3 linked regions of the Drosophila melanogaster genome follow. The protein of the gene in region 3 purifies or fractionates together with the protein of the main gene of each other region. This does not show direct contact. Each region holds a gene or a part of one and is shown on either strand. Other genes may lie near its edges.

Evidence for each region. The genes of interacting proteins can lie anywhere in the genome.
Region 1: the proteins of tex (region 3) and thoc5 purify together in Drosophila melanogaster (affinity purification with mass spectrometry, with the first as the bait; one large-scale study listed by BioGRID). This does not show direct contact.
Region 2: the proteins of tex (region 3) and Hpr1 purify together in Drosophila melanogaster (affinity purification with mass spectrometry, with the first as the bait; one large-scale study listed by BioGRID). This does not show direct contact.

What each region holds. Positions count from the first base shown.
Region 1 is NT_033778.4:23,952,252-23,956,931, forward strand, and holds thoc5 (thoc5), read left to right. Parts: upstream 1-1,839; 5' UTR 1,840-1,912; coding exon 1,913-1,987; intron 1,988-2,047; coding exon 2,048-2,842; intron 2,843-2,896; coding exon 2,897-3,009; intron 3,010-3,067; coding exon 3,068-3,155; intron 3,156-3,208; coding exon 3,209-3,745; intron 3,746-3,801; coding exon 3,802-4,044; 3' UTR 4,045-4,155; downstream 4,156-4,680. Other genes in the region: Stoml2 (stomatin like 2), read left to right, coding at 1-183; CG3803 (uncharacterized protein), read right to left, coding at 287-1,139, 1,198-1,330, 1,388-1,490, 1,572-1,664; CG16787 (uncharacterized protein), read right to left, coding at 4,170-4,680. UniProt on the Drosophila melanogaster protein: The THO complex is required for cell proliferation and for proper export of heat-shock mRNAs under heat stress.
Region 2 is NT_033777.3:5,818,269-5,823,228, reverse strand, and holds Hpr1 (Hpr1), read left to right. Parts: upstream 1-1,788; 5' UTR 1,789-1,896; coding exon 1,897-1,974; intron 1,975-2,041; coding exon 2,042-2,725; intron 2,726-2,882; coding exon 2,883-3,169; intron 3,170-3,227; coding exon 3,228-3,530; intron 3,531-3,584; coding exon 3,585-4,338; 3' UTR 4,339-4,435; downstream 4,436-4,960. Other genes in the region: CG46303 (uncharacterized protein), read right to left, coding at 882-1,148; CG42675 (uncharacterized protein), read right to left, coding at 4,471-4,960.
Region 3 is NT_033777.3:8,306,971-8,310,243, forward strand, and holds tex (tex), read right to left. Parts: upstream 1,676-3,273; 5' UTR 1,606-1,675; coding exon 1,516-1,605; exon of another isoform or gene 1,461-1,515; coding exon 926-1,460; intron 871-925; coding exon 533-870; 3' UTR 503-532; downstream 1-502. Other genes in the region: CG11693 (uncharacterized protein), read right to left, coding at 2,008-2,936, 2,993-3,035.

The sequences.
Region 1 (4,680 bases), on a different chromosome or scaffold from region 3:
CCCGGGGATGTTAATGGCTTCGTGGCCCAGGCCCTGGCGGTGTACAACCACGTTTCCAACTCTAACCAGGCCACCAAGTCATCGGAAAACGTGAAGGGTGTGGGCGCCTGCCTGAACGCAAAGAGTGTTGAGTACAAGGAGTTGCAGGAGGATAAAAGCAGTGTGAAAATGAATATTGAATAGGAATGAATAAACGGTTGTTGCTATTACATTTGCCCCACTCATAGTTGTTATTATCAAGGCGAGGATATTAAATTTTTGGTTCAACAAATAAACGCCTATTTATTTACTTCGGAAGGTACTTCAACAGTCGAACCTCGTGCGACAGCCACAATGCGAAACTCAGCAGAATAAGCGAGCCCGACTGGTGGGCCGTTGCCAGAGGCACGGGCACGTAGTTAAGCAAGGTGGTTACGCCAAGCGTGGCCTGCGTCCAGGCCATAGCCACCACGGCGTTGATGGCCCAGTTGGCGCGCTTGGGCAACTGCATCCTTCTGGTGACCAGCCACAGAGCGGTGGTCAGCGTTACTGTGCTAATACCAAGGATGCGGTGATTGAACTGCACCGTCGTCGGATTCTCGGTGATGTTCTTCTGTATGGGCGCAAACGTCCACATGTCATCGGGAATCCACTTGTCGCCCATCTTCGGGAACGAGTTGTACACGAGTCCGGCGTCTAGTCCGGCTACAAAGGCTCCAGAAATGGCAGTCAGCAGGACCATTGCCTTCGTCAAATGCGTCAGCCCCTTGATATTAAATGCTTTCTTGGCTTGGATCACGAATGTGTTCGTGGGGATGAGCAGGGACATGGCCTTTGACAGGGAGAGTGAGTACAGGACGAAGGCAGCTGCCAGGTGGGAGGCCAATCTATACTGGGATACCCGTGGCACGTCGTTGGGATCCTGGAACCTGTCTTCCAGCCCGGACTTGACCATGTACCATCCCATCAGACCTTGCAGGCCAATCAGTGTGCCCAGCAGCAGGACGCTCTTCTTGGTCTTCGCACAGAAGTATCCCTTTCTCCAGAAGTAAACAGCGGGCAAAAGGAAGAACCCGCCGATGGCACGACCCCACATCCTGTGCATGTACTCCATCATGAAAATGAACTTGAACTCCTCCACGGTCATATTCACATTCTTTCTGAAAGCAGAAGTTTGCATGTAGTTCCTGGCGTTGGATGAATCTGGGGAGTACTCACAGCTTGTACTCTGGGTATTGCTGGTAGAGATTGAACTCCTGCACCCATTCCTCCTGGGTTCGGGGCATACGTTCACCCGTCAGCTTCCAAGTGACCATGGACAGTCCGGACTCTGTCAGTCGGGTTACTCCGCCTGGAAGAGATTCACTTTCGCAAGGAACTACAAACTTTACATTTTGTTATTGGTTACCTAGACCAACGGCCACGAAGACCATGCCGCTGACTCCCAGGAACCATCTTCCGACGGTCTTGTCGCTTTTCGGAGTGCTGATGGGCTTTATCACTGGGATTTCCTGAAAGGTGCGGCATTAACAAATATTACTTTATAAATAAAAACATATTTTTATATGTAATCAGTGGGATATTAATGCAACCTTTATCGCTGTTTGCGCAATCGTCTGGTGAAGTCGGGGGCCGGGTACTACTAGCTTTATGAGATTGGTTCTCTTCTGGAGCAATCGCAGCATTGTGTTATTTCAAGTTTGGAGAGATTAACTTAAGCTTACAGCAAATATTAAAGGATATATTTTGTTTTTTAACTATATTTACAAAGCCGCTACCAAGTGTGACCGCAGCAGTGGGGTATGCGCATATACTAAAATCATTTTGAAAAGTACCGGCGAATGTTATCGACTCGATAGCCTGGCCACATTATATCAGTTTTGTTAATAAAAACAACTTTTGCGGCTTCTGATTTACAATTTCGCCAAATAAAATGGAAACAATATTGAACACGCAGTTCGATCAGCTGCAAAAGGCCATAGAGGGAATTAAGGAGGCGAAGAGCAAGGTAAGTCCGATTTCCGTGCCAGAGTACAGCTCTAAATCCGTCCACATCCGTCACGAGCAGGGGCAATCGACGGATGAGGCTCGCATTGCCACCACCTTGATGTTCGTGGCTCTGAAGCACGCCAACCGCGAGGTGAAGCACAAGATCAAAGCGGGGCGCGACAAGCTGCACCTGGAAAAGTGCAAGGTGGACCTCAGCCGGCTGCAGCTGCAGAATCTTCTGTACGAAGTGAGCCACCTGAAGAAGGAGATTGTGCGCTGCCAGAAGTTCAAGAGCAGGGACACCAGCTTGGAGCTGCTCTCGGAAGCCGAGTACTCCAGCGAGCTGCCAGACATGCCCAACGACGCGGAGGAGCTGTCCAGCCACAAGCAGCACCTTCATCGCCTCGACTGCGAGCTGCGTCTGCGGAAGGCACTCGACAAGCAGTACAGCGCCCTGCTGAGCTCCAAGCAGGAACTGCTCCAGGACAATCTTAGCCACGCCCAGCGGTACGTCTCCTTCGCACCCGCCTTGCGCACTCTGCAGAGCGCCACAAAGCCGCTGCACGATGCACTCCAGCTATCCCTGGACGTGGAATGGAAGCTAAGCGCAGTGGTCAAGTACCTGCCCAAGCCGCTCTACGTTTTGTTCATTGTCCTGCAATCGCTGCAGCGGGTCAGCGAGGAGCAGTCCTTCACCGCCGAGGTGGTTGGCTATGAGAGCGAGGCTCAAATGCAGGAGTTGCTTAAGGAGAAAAAGTGCTCCACATTGAACTACAGACAGACTAAAAAGGAAAGTGGAGACCGGGAAAAGATTGCCGATAAAAACAACTTGGACGACTCACTCGCTCCTCACCCACTACACATTTGTTTGACGGTAGGATGACATGGTTTGCTCATTCCAAAACATTTATTAACCTAAACTTTAAAGATTGGAGCGGCTGGATCGAATCAGCTCGTTTTGCAGATTCGCTACTTTGATTTTATCAAGTGTGCCACTGTCTGGGGCCAACTTAACTGCTCCAGGAATGCCAACGGCCAGGGGTAAGTTTGGAACACACCTAGGAAAAAATCGCATAAATAACTAGGCATTTTTTCACAGTGACACAAACTTTGTTCACCACCTATTGCGGCATTTGTACCCCAATGACTTGGGCAATGAATTACCCATTCCGGGAATCCAATACGAGGTAAGAACTTCCTTATCCAACGTTGGACAACCAATTAAATTACGCTCTTTCAGCTACGAAGCTCGGATTTAACAGCCGAGGAATGTGTGCGCTACCTCAAGGCCAAGGACTACGGAAAACCCTTCTGTTGGCTGCAAAGTATGTGCTCGATTGCAACCGTCAACAGTTCGATGCTGTACAAACACGAACTGAACTTGAATAAGAACAACAAGGAGATTATTGACCGCATTGCCAGGCGCTTGAACTCTTGGCAGCGTTTAAGCCAGCAGATTCGCGGGCTGACCTTCAAGGATATCGATTTGTATAGCTTGCAGGAGAACATCTATCCAGCCGGCCTGTCGTGCAGTCTCGTCCAATGGACTGCCATCACACATGAGGAGCTTCACTCGCAAATTTCAGACGCACTGAATTCTTCGTCAGCGGACAAGGGTATTACGTACAACTCTTACCGCGCTGTCATCGTCCGGGGATCGGCCAAAATGGAGTGCTTTATTAGAATACCGAGTAACTATCCACTGGAAATGCCTCTATGGATTCTGAATGTGCACTGGAACGGATGCCTTACCGCGCAAAACAATTCGGCGATCAAGGTTTGAACTTATTCAGGTATTATCCTCCAATTAGCTTTTAAACTTGTATTCCTCAGATGATGGAGTTCTGGACCAACTCCCTGCAGCCCAAACATTTGGAGCCCAACGACTGCATCCTGTACGCGCAGCTCTTCCGCACCATCTACAGCTTCGATATATTCCTCGAAACCGAGGGATCCATGCAAAACACCATTGAGTACAACAAGGAGAAGCCTTACATAAGCGCCTTCGCCAAGCGGAGCCGCTCACGCCCCTACAAATACATCAAGAAGGGATCGGTCTACGCGTTCAAGCAGTGACAGTTGAATAACGAATGTTGTACAACACAATGCGCCAATGCGGTTACTAAACGTTCTCACAGTTGCGTTTATTACGATTAGTAATACAATAAATAAGTAACATTTAAAGCTAGCTAGCTACGACTTCATTGGCAGTTGATCTTCTGGGAAGAGGTCGCTGCCAAGGATCCGGGAGGTAGTGCCGTCGCAGAAGGGTTCTCAACCGCCTCCCGACTCTCGTCCGGCATCACTTTGTCCACGACGTGCTTGACGATCAGCCCATCGTCGCCCAGATAGCAGACAGAGTAGCCGTCGTACCAGGCCTCCTGATCCTTCAGCACCTCCTTCAGTTGCCAGAGCTTGTACTTCCAGAACTGGAACATGACCTTCAGGCCGGAAATGCCGCGCACTCGCCACCTTATCCGCACTGTGTAGTCGTCCTGGTGCTTCGTGATCTTGAGCACCTCGAATTTCACGTAGGCGTACTTCAGGTGGCCAACCGTTCGCAGGATGGCGATCTGTTTGACGTAGTGGTACAGGCCCACCGTGTGCTTGCCCGTTATGTTGTTGTGGAAGATTAGGCCCGGGCTGTAAATGGAGTAGTCTAGGGGCTCCACGAACAGCTTTGGTAGCGTGGTCCTCAGAACCTCGTAGGCT
Region 2 (4,960 bases), 2.5 Mb from region 3:
ACGTTATTATTATTTGAAAATAGATTAGAAATAGTCAAATCTATGTACATATTATCACAAAAATAAATTTCAAAAATGAATTTATATAAGAATATTTGTCATTAGAGTATTCATCTTGCGGCGTGTGAAAAATTAATAAGGCAATGATTGTTGAGTGCTTGTGTCCGCACTTCGTGCCTCAAGATATGAACAAAGCAAAGACACTAGAATAATTCTATTGTCTTTGATATTACTTTTGCAATTTAATTTAATTGCATATTTAATTATTTAGTATATTTATTAAATCATTTGACTTAATATGATGTAACATTAACATTAAAAGTGTTTCAAAAAAAATATTTCGGTTTTAAAAAATTGTCAGATGAGAGACAAATTAGAATTAAACATAAATACAAATGTGTAAACGGTAGCTAATTCGAGCGGCGATTTTAACAAAGAAATTTAAAAAAGCTTTAAAATTATAATAGCCAGGGCGCGAATTTTTAAAAATTTTTTATTTTATCATATTGCTAGGAAATTGGCAAAAACTACCCTAATATGTACCATGTAAATTCGTTTCTTCGATCAGAATTGATTTCGGCCCGAAAATCGTCTTCTAGCACAACACGCACACTTATACGCGTTCTCGTCTCTTGTTTTTACTCACACAAGCAAGCAAATTATATTTTTAGATTTCTTACGCTCTAAGCGGGAGTGAGCGGAAAGAGAGTAATTTTGGCCGTCACCAAAAAAGTGGCTGCATAGTGCCAAACCAATGTATGGCCGTTACGCATCTTGTTATTCTAGTGTCTTTGGTACAGCCTAGTATAGTATGGTAAATGCAATTTATTTTTATTTAGAATATATGAGTGTTGTATATGTAGATAAAAATGTTAAGCAAGTTAGTAAGGGCACCTAGGCACTCCTCCGGGGTTTGTGAATCCGTTGGTGTTGACCAACCTGCAGATGTCCTTGTATGACCGCGCCGATTTTGCAGGCCTTTCTGGCTGTGGCTGGGAATAACCTCTGTTGTAATAGTCAGGATAGAACTGGAACCAAGAAGGCCTGTGGTAGTTGTAGTCGGGAAAAAATTCTTTAAGCACAGAGCTGCTGCAGAATCTGCTTAGCCCCAGAATCCACAGCAGAATGTATATAATCGACTTGCGCATGGCCACTTCGCCTGAGCTTAAGATTTGGAATAAAGCCGTACCCGATTCTCATTGTATACGCCTGGCGCACTTATGAAGCTTGTGCGACCTCGCACACAGTGGGAAAGTAATTGGAATCTGAAATCTATGCGTGATTGTCGGAATAGCTGATAGCGGGAGTGTTCGCGTGCCCCAGCTCAATGCTATCGTTATCTACAAACCATTCGGCCTTTAAATTGATGTATGATGAAAGTTTATTCAATGTGTGGTTTTTGACGTTTAATAAGAAAAATTCGATTTTGAGAAATGCATTTAAAATGCAATTTTTATTTATCGCAGTGAAGAATAAAATAATATATTTTTTCATTATATTTGTTACCAATTTAACAAAAATATTATGTAGTTGCTTTTTTAAAAGTCTTTCGGGTCAATAAGAAAAAAAAAGCTTACAAACAGAGTATTATGTTCTAAGGAATAGGACCTAAAAACCCTCATTACCTAATTGGTGTTTCAAAAACAGGTTTATGTGGTGCAAAAGGACAAATTTTGCTAACAAAAAAAAAAAAACACTTTTTTAAAAAAACTAACTTACAGGCGCCTAAAAAAAATTATAATCGATTTGTCATCGATTTTTTGGTCTTTAAAGTACTATAGCGGCGCATTATATACTAACCAAAACGAGTTGGCAGCACTCGTGATGTTTTGATTGAAAAAACAAATTAGTTTATTGTTTTTATCTGTTGTCGCCAAAAATATTATTTAAATCAATATGAGCACCGCCGTAGAAGTGGCTAACACGGCTCCGGAGAAGTTGGCCAACTACTTTGCGCTACAGTCGGCGTTTGAGGTAAAACGTTGATGAATGGCCCCGAAACCGGCAATGTTCCGATCTGATAGAAAATAATAATTTTCAGAAAGCCCTTGAATTGGCCATCACCGACGGCAAAGTGGAGCTGTTGGTCAAGGAGTACAATAGATTCCCGGCCAACACCGAGCACGACAAGCGCTTACCCATGGACCACGCGTTCCGCGTGCTCCTGATGAAGCGGCTGGACGAAGATGTGAGTCGCATTGGAGAGCTTGTACGCCTCTCCGTGGAAGCCACGCGGGCCGAGATTGTGTCCAACACCATACCCGTGGTTCTGCTGATCGACACCTTCGACGTGGTCACTCTGGACAAGTGCCAGAAGATATTTCAGTTTGTCGAGGATATGGTGGAGGTGTGGAAGGAGGAGATCTTCTTTTCCTCATGCAAGAACAACATTCTACGCATGTGCAACGACCTGCTGCGTCGACTTTCGCGCACCCAGAACACCGTCTTCTGTGGCCGCATCCAGCTTTTCCTCTCAAAGTTCTTTCCCTTTTCGGAGCGGTCTGGCCTCAACATCGTCTCCGAATTCAACCTGGACAACTTTACGGAGTACGGTCTGGACAGCAAAGACCACGACGAAAGCGACAACAAGGAGCTGGAGGATACCGCTGAGGACATCCCCCTAAAGATCGACTACGACCTGTACTGCAAGTTTTGGTCGCTGCAGGACTTTTTCCGAAATCCCAACCAGTGTTACAATAAGCCGCAGTGGAAGATGTTCCAGATGGTAAGCAGTGGCTTGGCACAATTACAATTGTAGAATATATATATATCTTGGAAAGAGATCAAAGATGTTTGCCAGCTAGCTTGCTCATAAATATTGGTTATTAATAATCCTGCCCCATGTTGGTTCATATTCATATATTGTTACTTTCCCCTTCCAGCACGCTGACAACATACTACAGTCCTTCTCGAGCTTCAAGCTGGAAGACGTGCGCCAAAGTAGCAACGAAAATGCGAGCGGTACTGACCAAGCAATGGATGTGGACGAGGAGGCAGTAGACACCACGGCGGTGTCTTCCGTCATCAAGGCGAATCACTTCTTCGCCAAGTTTCTAACCAATCCCAAGCTTTTGGCTCTGCAGCTCTCCGACGCTAATTTTCGACGTGCTGTTCTGGTGCAGTTTCTAATTCTATTTCAGTACCTGCAAGTCAGTGTAAAGTTTAAAAGGTTCGAATATGAAGAAAGTCCAGGGAAAACGAACAAACTTTAATGATTGTACTTTCAGTGATACTCAAACCTTGACTGCAGACCAGGCGGACTTTATCAAGGAAACAGAGTCGCGTGTTTATAAGTTGCTAGAGGAGACACCACCGTACGGTAAGCGGTTTTCACGGACAGTGTATCACATGCTGGCCCGCGAAGAGATGTGGAACAACTGGAAGAACGAAGGCTGCAAGGAATTCAAGAAGCCCGAGGAACCAACTCTCAGCGAAGAGGACTCGAAGCCAACTCCCAATAAAAGACCGCGCCGTCCATTGGGCGATGCACTGCGCGATGCTTCCCGCAGCGGCAAGTTTTATTTGGGAAAGTAAGTATCGAACGTAAGTCAAACTAAGCCAGTTCTAAAATATTTCACTTCCAGTGACAACCTAACACGTTTGTGGAACTACTCTCCAGATAACTTGCAGGCCTGCAAAAGTGAACAGCGAAACTTCCTACCGCTGCTGGAGACATATTTAGAAACGCCGCACGAAAAGGTTGATCCCGCTTTTGAGTGGCGAGCTCTGCGCTTGCTTGCCCGCCAAACACCGCACTTCTTTACGTCGCTCTCTCAGCCATCGAGCAAGATCTCCGATTATCTTGAGCAAGTGCGCAAACGTCTCATCCGGGACAAAGAGCCCAAACCTGCTGCCCTTTTATCGAACAACTCTTCTGAGAACAATTTTGGCCTGTCGGTCAACAACGTTCATACGGAGGGCGAGCAGGATGCTACGGTCGCCCTTCAGGACGGTGAACCAGAGCAGGATCTTGAAGTAGAGGACAACGAACCTGTGGTGGAAGAGGTGGATGAGGTACCGGCGCACGAGAAACCCCTTATGGTTACCAAAGAGCATATCGAAGAGGTGGCGCCCCTTATAGGCGAGCCATGGATGAAGGTGGGAAAGAAGATTGGCTTCACCAACGATGAACTTCTCTTCTTTCAAATGGAGCATCCTACGGCGAACGTGGCCTGCGTTAAGATGCTGACAAACTGGATATCCGATGACGACGACGCCACCCTGGAAAACTGGGCGTACATGCTAGAGGGATTGGAGATGAATAAGGCCGCCGAAGCGGTGAAGGCGATTATTGAGCGCGAAAAATCTGGATCCACTGCCGCCTTCTGCCTCCGGTAACGACGATGAGGTGCTCTCTGATTAGCATCATCCCCATGCCGATCCCACCCTAGTTATTATAATTTCGTTTCAATCATAAAACTTCTTTATCACAAGTAAAAGAATGGGCGAATATCTATTCCCAATCACCACTCAACGCCTCTTGGCCGGCGGACCGTTACGGGGCTTGTTGTGCACCATGTTAACGCACTTGGGGATATGACGCTCCGCAGCCTGTTCGTTGAATCGGCGACCACAGTGGGGACACTGGACATAGTCTGGATTCTCCGAAGGTGGCGGTGGTGGCAGGTCGCTCAACTTGCCGCCGCGCGCCAAGTGCGCCTTCACCTGCTTGGCCGCTCTAATCGACTGAATGAAGTCCTCGTGCTTCTTACGCCAGTTGTTCTTCTTCACTCCAGTGGTCAGACCCTTCTGCTGGGCAGCACTACTGTAAGTTGAACGGTTGCGATTGCCCTTCGACTTCATATTGAACGCCGCGGCCTCGGTGCCCTCGATCCGCTGCTTGGAGGCATCGAATATCTTGCGTTTGGTGGTCAGCATGCGCTGGCACACCTCCTCGTGCTTCGCCAGACGATCCGTGTTGAAGTGGCGTCCGCAGTAGCGGCATAAAGCGGTGCCCTCT
Region 3 (3,273 bases):
ACTCGCGCCAGCTCCACAAAACTTGACCTTATGGCTCTCCAGTTTAGCTGCCTAATATGGTCGTAGCGACCATGCACGCCAGCCAACATCTTTCCGGGATTGAGCCCTCGAAAAGCTGACACTGATTAATAGCTTAAGAAGCAGGAAGCCATTGCCGTAAAGCTAGCTACATGCATTGGGTCAGCATTCGCATCCGCCAGCGTCGTTATTTGCATGATAAAAGCAAAGTGCTTGCAACGTTCAGCTGCGCCGATTGAGCAGCTCCTGGAGCAGCAGGGCGCATCAGCTGGGTCCGGCAAAGCCATAAAAGCGAGCCAGAGATGATAAAACCGAAATGGCTGCCACGAACACGTCCGCCGGCGAAGCCCTGCAATTGATAACCTAGAATGCTCGCTCGGCTAGCAACGTGACCCAGTTAACACGAAAGTGCATCATCGACGGTCAGGTACGTCGATAAAGTCACACTCGAAAAGGTAATTGGAAAGCAAACAGGGTGGTCTTTACCATCAGATGCGCCTTAAACTAGGTTACTTTATTCCGAAAAGCCATATATCTTAACGTTGCCAGCGTCACGTCGCCGATCGTTGTCCTTCTCATCGCAGGCGTAGGCCAGCAGGTACTGCTTCGGATGCCAGGCCACCGTGAACGTGGAGGCGTCCACGTGAATGTCGGTTACCCGCTCGCCCGTCTCCGTGAAGGCAATGTCGATAATGAGGTCCTCGCTGGCCAAGGCAATCATTCGCTCGTCGTGGCTAAACGATATGGTGCGGACGGGCCACTCCAGGCGGCTGATCATGCGCAGGCAGGCCAGCTCGTTGGCATCCCACAAGGAGACTTGTGCGTCCGCCGAGCCAGTGGCAAAGTATTTACCTGGAAACGAAAGAGGCATATTTAGATATGATATGAGATTGCAATGGCTGCCTACCCGTGGGTCCGAACTCAATGCAAATGCAGTTGGCGGGATGGGCCTTCAGGGTCATCTGGTGCTCGAGACTGGGATAGCTGAGGATATGCATGCAGCCGAGTCCGTTGGTTAGGAAGAACAGGTCGTTGGTGTTGTTCCACGATATCTCGTTGACCTCGAAGCTGAACGGCTCCTCCACGCGAATCTTGTTCGTGCGTGTGTCTATAAAGGTGATCAGATCCTCCTTGTTGCCCACGGCGATCGTTTTGCCATCGGGCGACCAGGCAATGTTGATATTCTCCCCCTTGGTGTTCGTCACCGATACGCATTTTCCAACTCGTATGTCCCAGATGCGCACGGTCTTGTCTCCGCTTGCGGTGGCAAACTGGTCGGGATTGGTGCGATGCCAACACAGCTGGTCCACGGACGCAGTGTGTCCCCGGTATGTGTTGCCCTTCAAGAAGCGGTCCCGCTCCAGCGAGTAGACGACCACCGTCTTGTCGAAGCTTCCGGAGGCCAGGTAACGACCATCGGCATTCCAGCAGACCGAGTGAACCTGTGGGCAGGCGGGAATTCATTGGTTGCCCAATAAATGTGGCCATCGTGCTCACCTTAGACATGTGCGACCGCTGCTCGCGGATTTTGCTGTGACTCCGCAAATACGACTTCAGGTCTTCCAATGTCTGCTCCGTGCGACTCATTGTTAAATGTTTATTTATATTTCAACCGGCTTTTTCTTAAAAGATCTAAACAACAATGTGACTGTAGCCCACTAACCAAATTATACTAACTGCCCGATTTGCATTAGCAAGGACTCACACCAATATATCGATTCCTGGCTTAGCGGCTAATTCAAATATTCTTACAATCTCTGAGGTAACGTTTTCAAACGAGTTTCTGCCAACATTCAAGCTCATATCTTTTGTTGTTAATTACGCTATTGTTTGCGCTGCAAACATTTAAACAAGCAGAGAGAGAGAGAGAGAGAGAGAGAGAGAGAGAGTTTAATGTCAACAAAACTTTATTGTATCGCTGCAGCAAAACAAACATTAAATGAGGAAAACAAATAAATAAGAATTACAAGCCTAGATTGTGGCAGTGCACTATTGAAGTCTGTGGTTTCGCGGCGGCTCGCGCACATTCCGATCGCTCTTGTCGTGGATATGCACATTCTCCGCTAGCTCCACGTTGGCATGCAAGGCCGCGTCATTGGCATTCAAGTGCGCCTCCTGGGCGGACAAGGTAGCCTTCTCCGCCGCATCGCGCGTTTCCTCGTAGTCCAGTCGAGCTGCATAAGCCTGCGATTCGGCGTGCTCCAGCTTGGTCTTGGCCTGGGCCACCATATCAATTTGCGAAGCTAGCTCGGCCGCCGCCTCCGATGCTGCCTTTTGTGCCAACTCCGAGGCGGATTGGGCATTGTTAAGTGCGGCAGTTAGGACACTGACATGGTTGATGGCCTGCTGGGCGGCATATTGGGCTGCCTTGGCGGATCTCTTGGCCTGCTGCAGTTGGGTCAGCTCGTTCTCCATGGCCTTGTGGGCCTCCACGCTCTGATCCTCCAGCCGATGGAGCAGCACCTCTTTGCCCTTGAGCACGGCCACAGCTGTGCCGGCTGCTTGTGCTGCCGCCTGAGCCAGAGTACTTTTGGCCACATAGGATGCCTGTTTGCCTGCCGCATTTTGGCTGGCCACTGCGGACAGGGCCTGATCCGCTGAACCCTTCGCTATGCTGCGCAATCCATTGTCGGCCAGGTAGCCACCGCTTCCTCCTCCACCGCCTCCGCGGTGGGAGTGCACTATGTAATCGGAGGAGCCTTCGAAGTGGGAGAGCTTCACCTTGGCCGGTTCGAATTCGTCGTGGTTAATCGCCTCGTAGGTGTATGGCGGCACCTCGTGCTCGATCACCGCCGTTTGCTGGGGCACTGGACCCGGTCCATGGGGCGATGGCGGCGGTGGTGGCGGCGGCACATTGACGTGATGGTGATAGTGTGGCTCCTTCCGTTTGATCTTGCGACCCTGCGTCGGCATGGCCACTAAATCAAAGTCCCAATTTAGCCACATTTGCATGAGGAAGTCATGTGCGACTCACCCAAAAACAGCGCCAGGAGCAGCAGGTGCAGCAGCGATGGCATCTCTGGCGATTATGCAATGGAGCAGCTGGCGAAAGGAAGTCGCACAACCGGAAGACTCGTGATCACCGCAGGCGCAAGCTTTTGGGTTCCTCTGTCGCACGCCGAGTGCTGAAAGAAAACAAATTTCCGTTTTTAATTGGGGAAAAGTTTCTTCATTGTTTTTCACGTATGTATATGCTTTTCAGTTTAGTTAGCTAGTTAGTTGTTGATTGCATCTCACTAAAATAAACTTGTTACG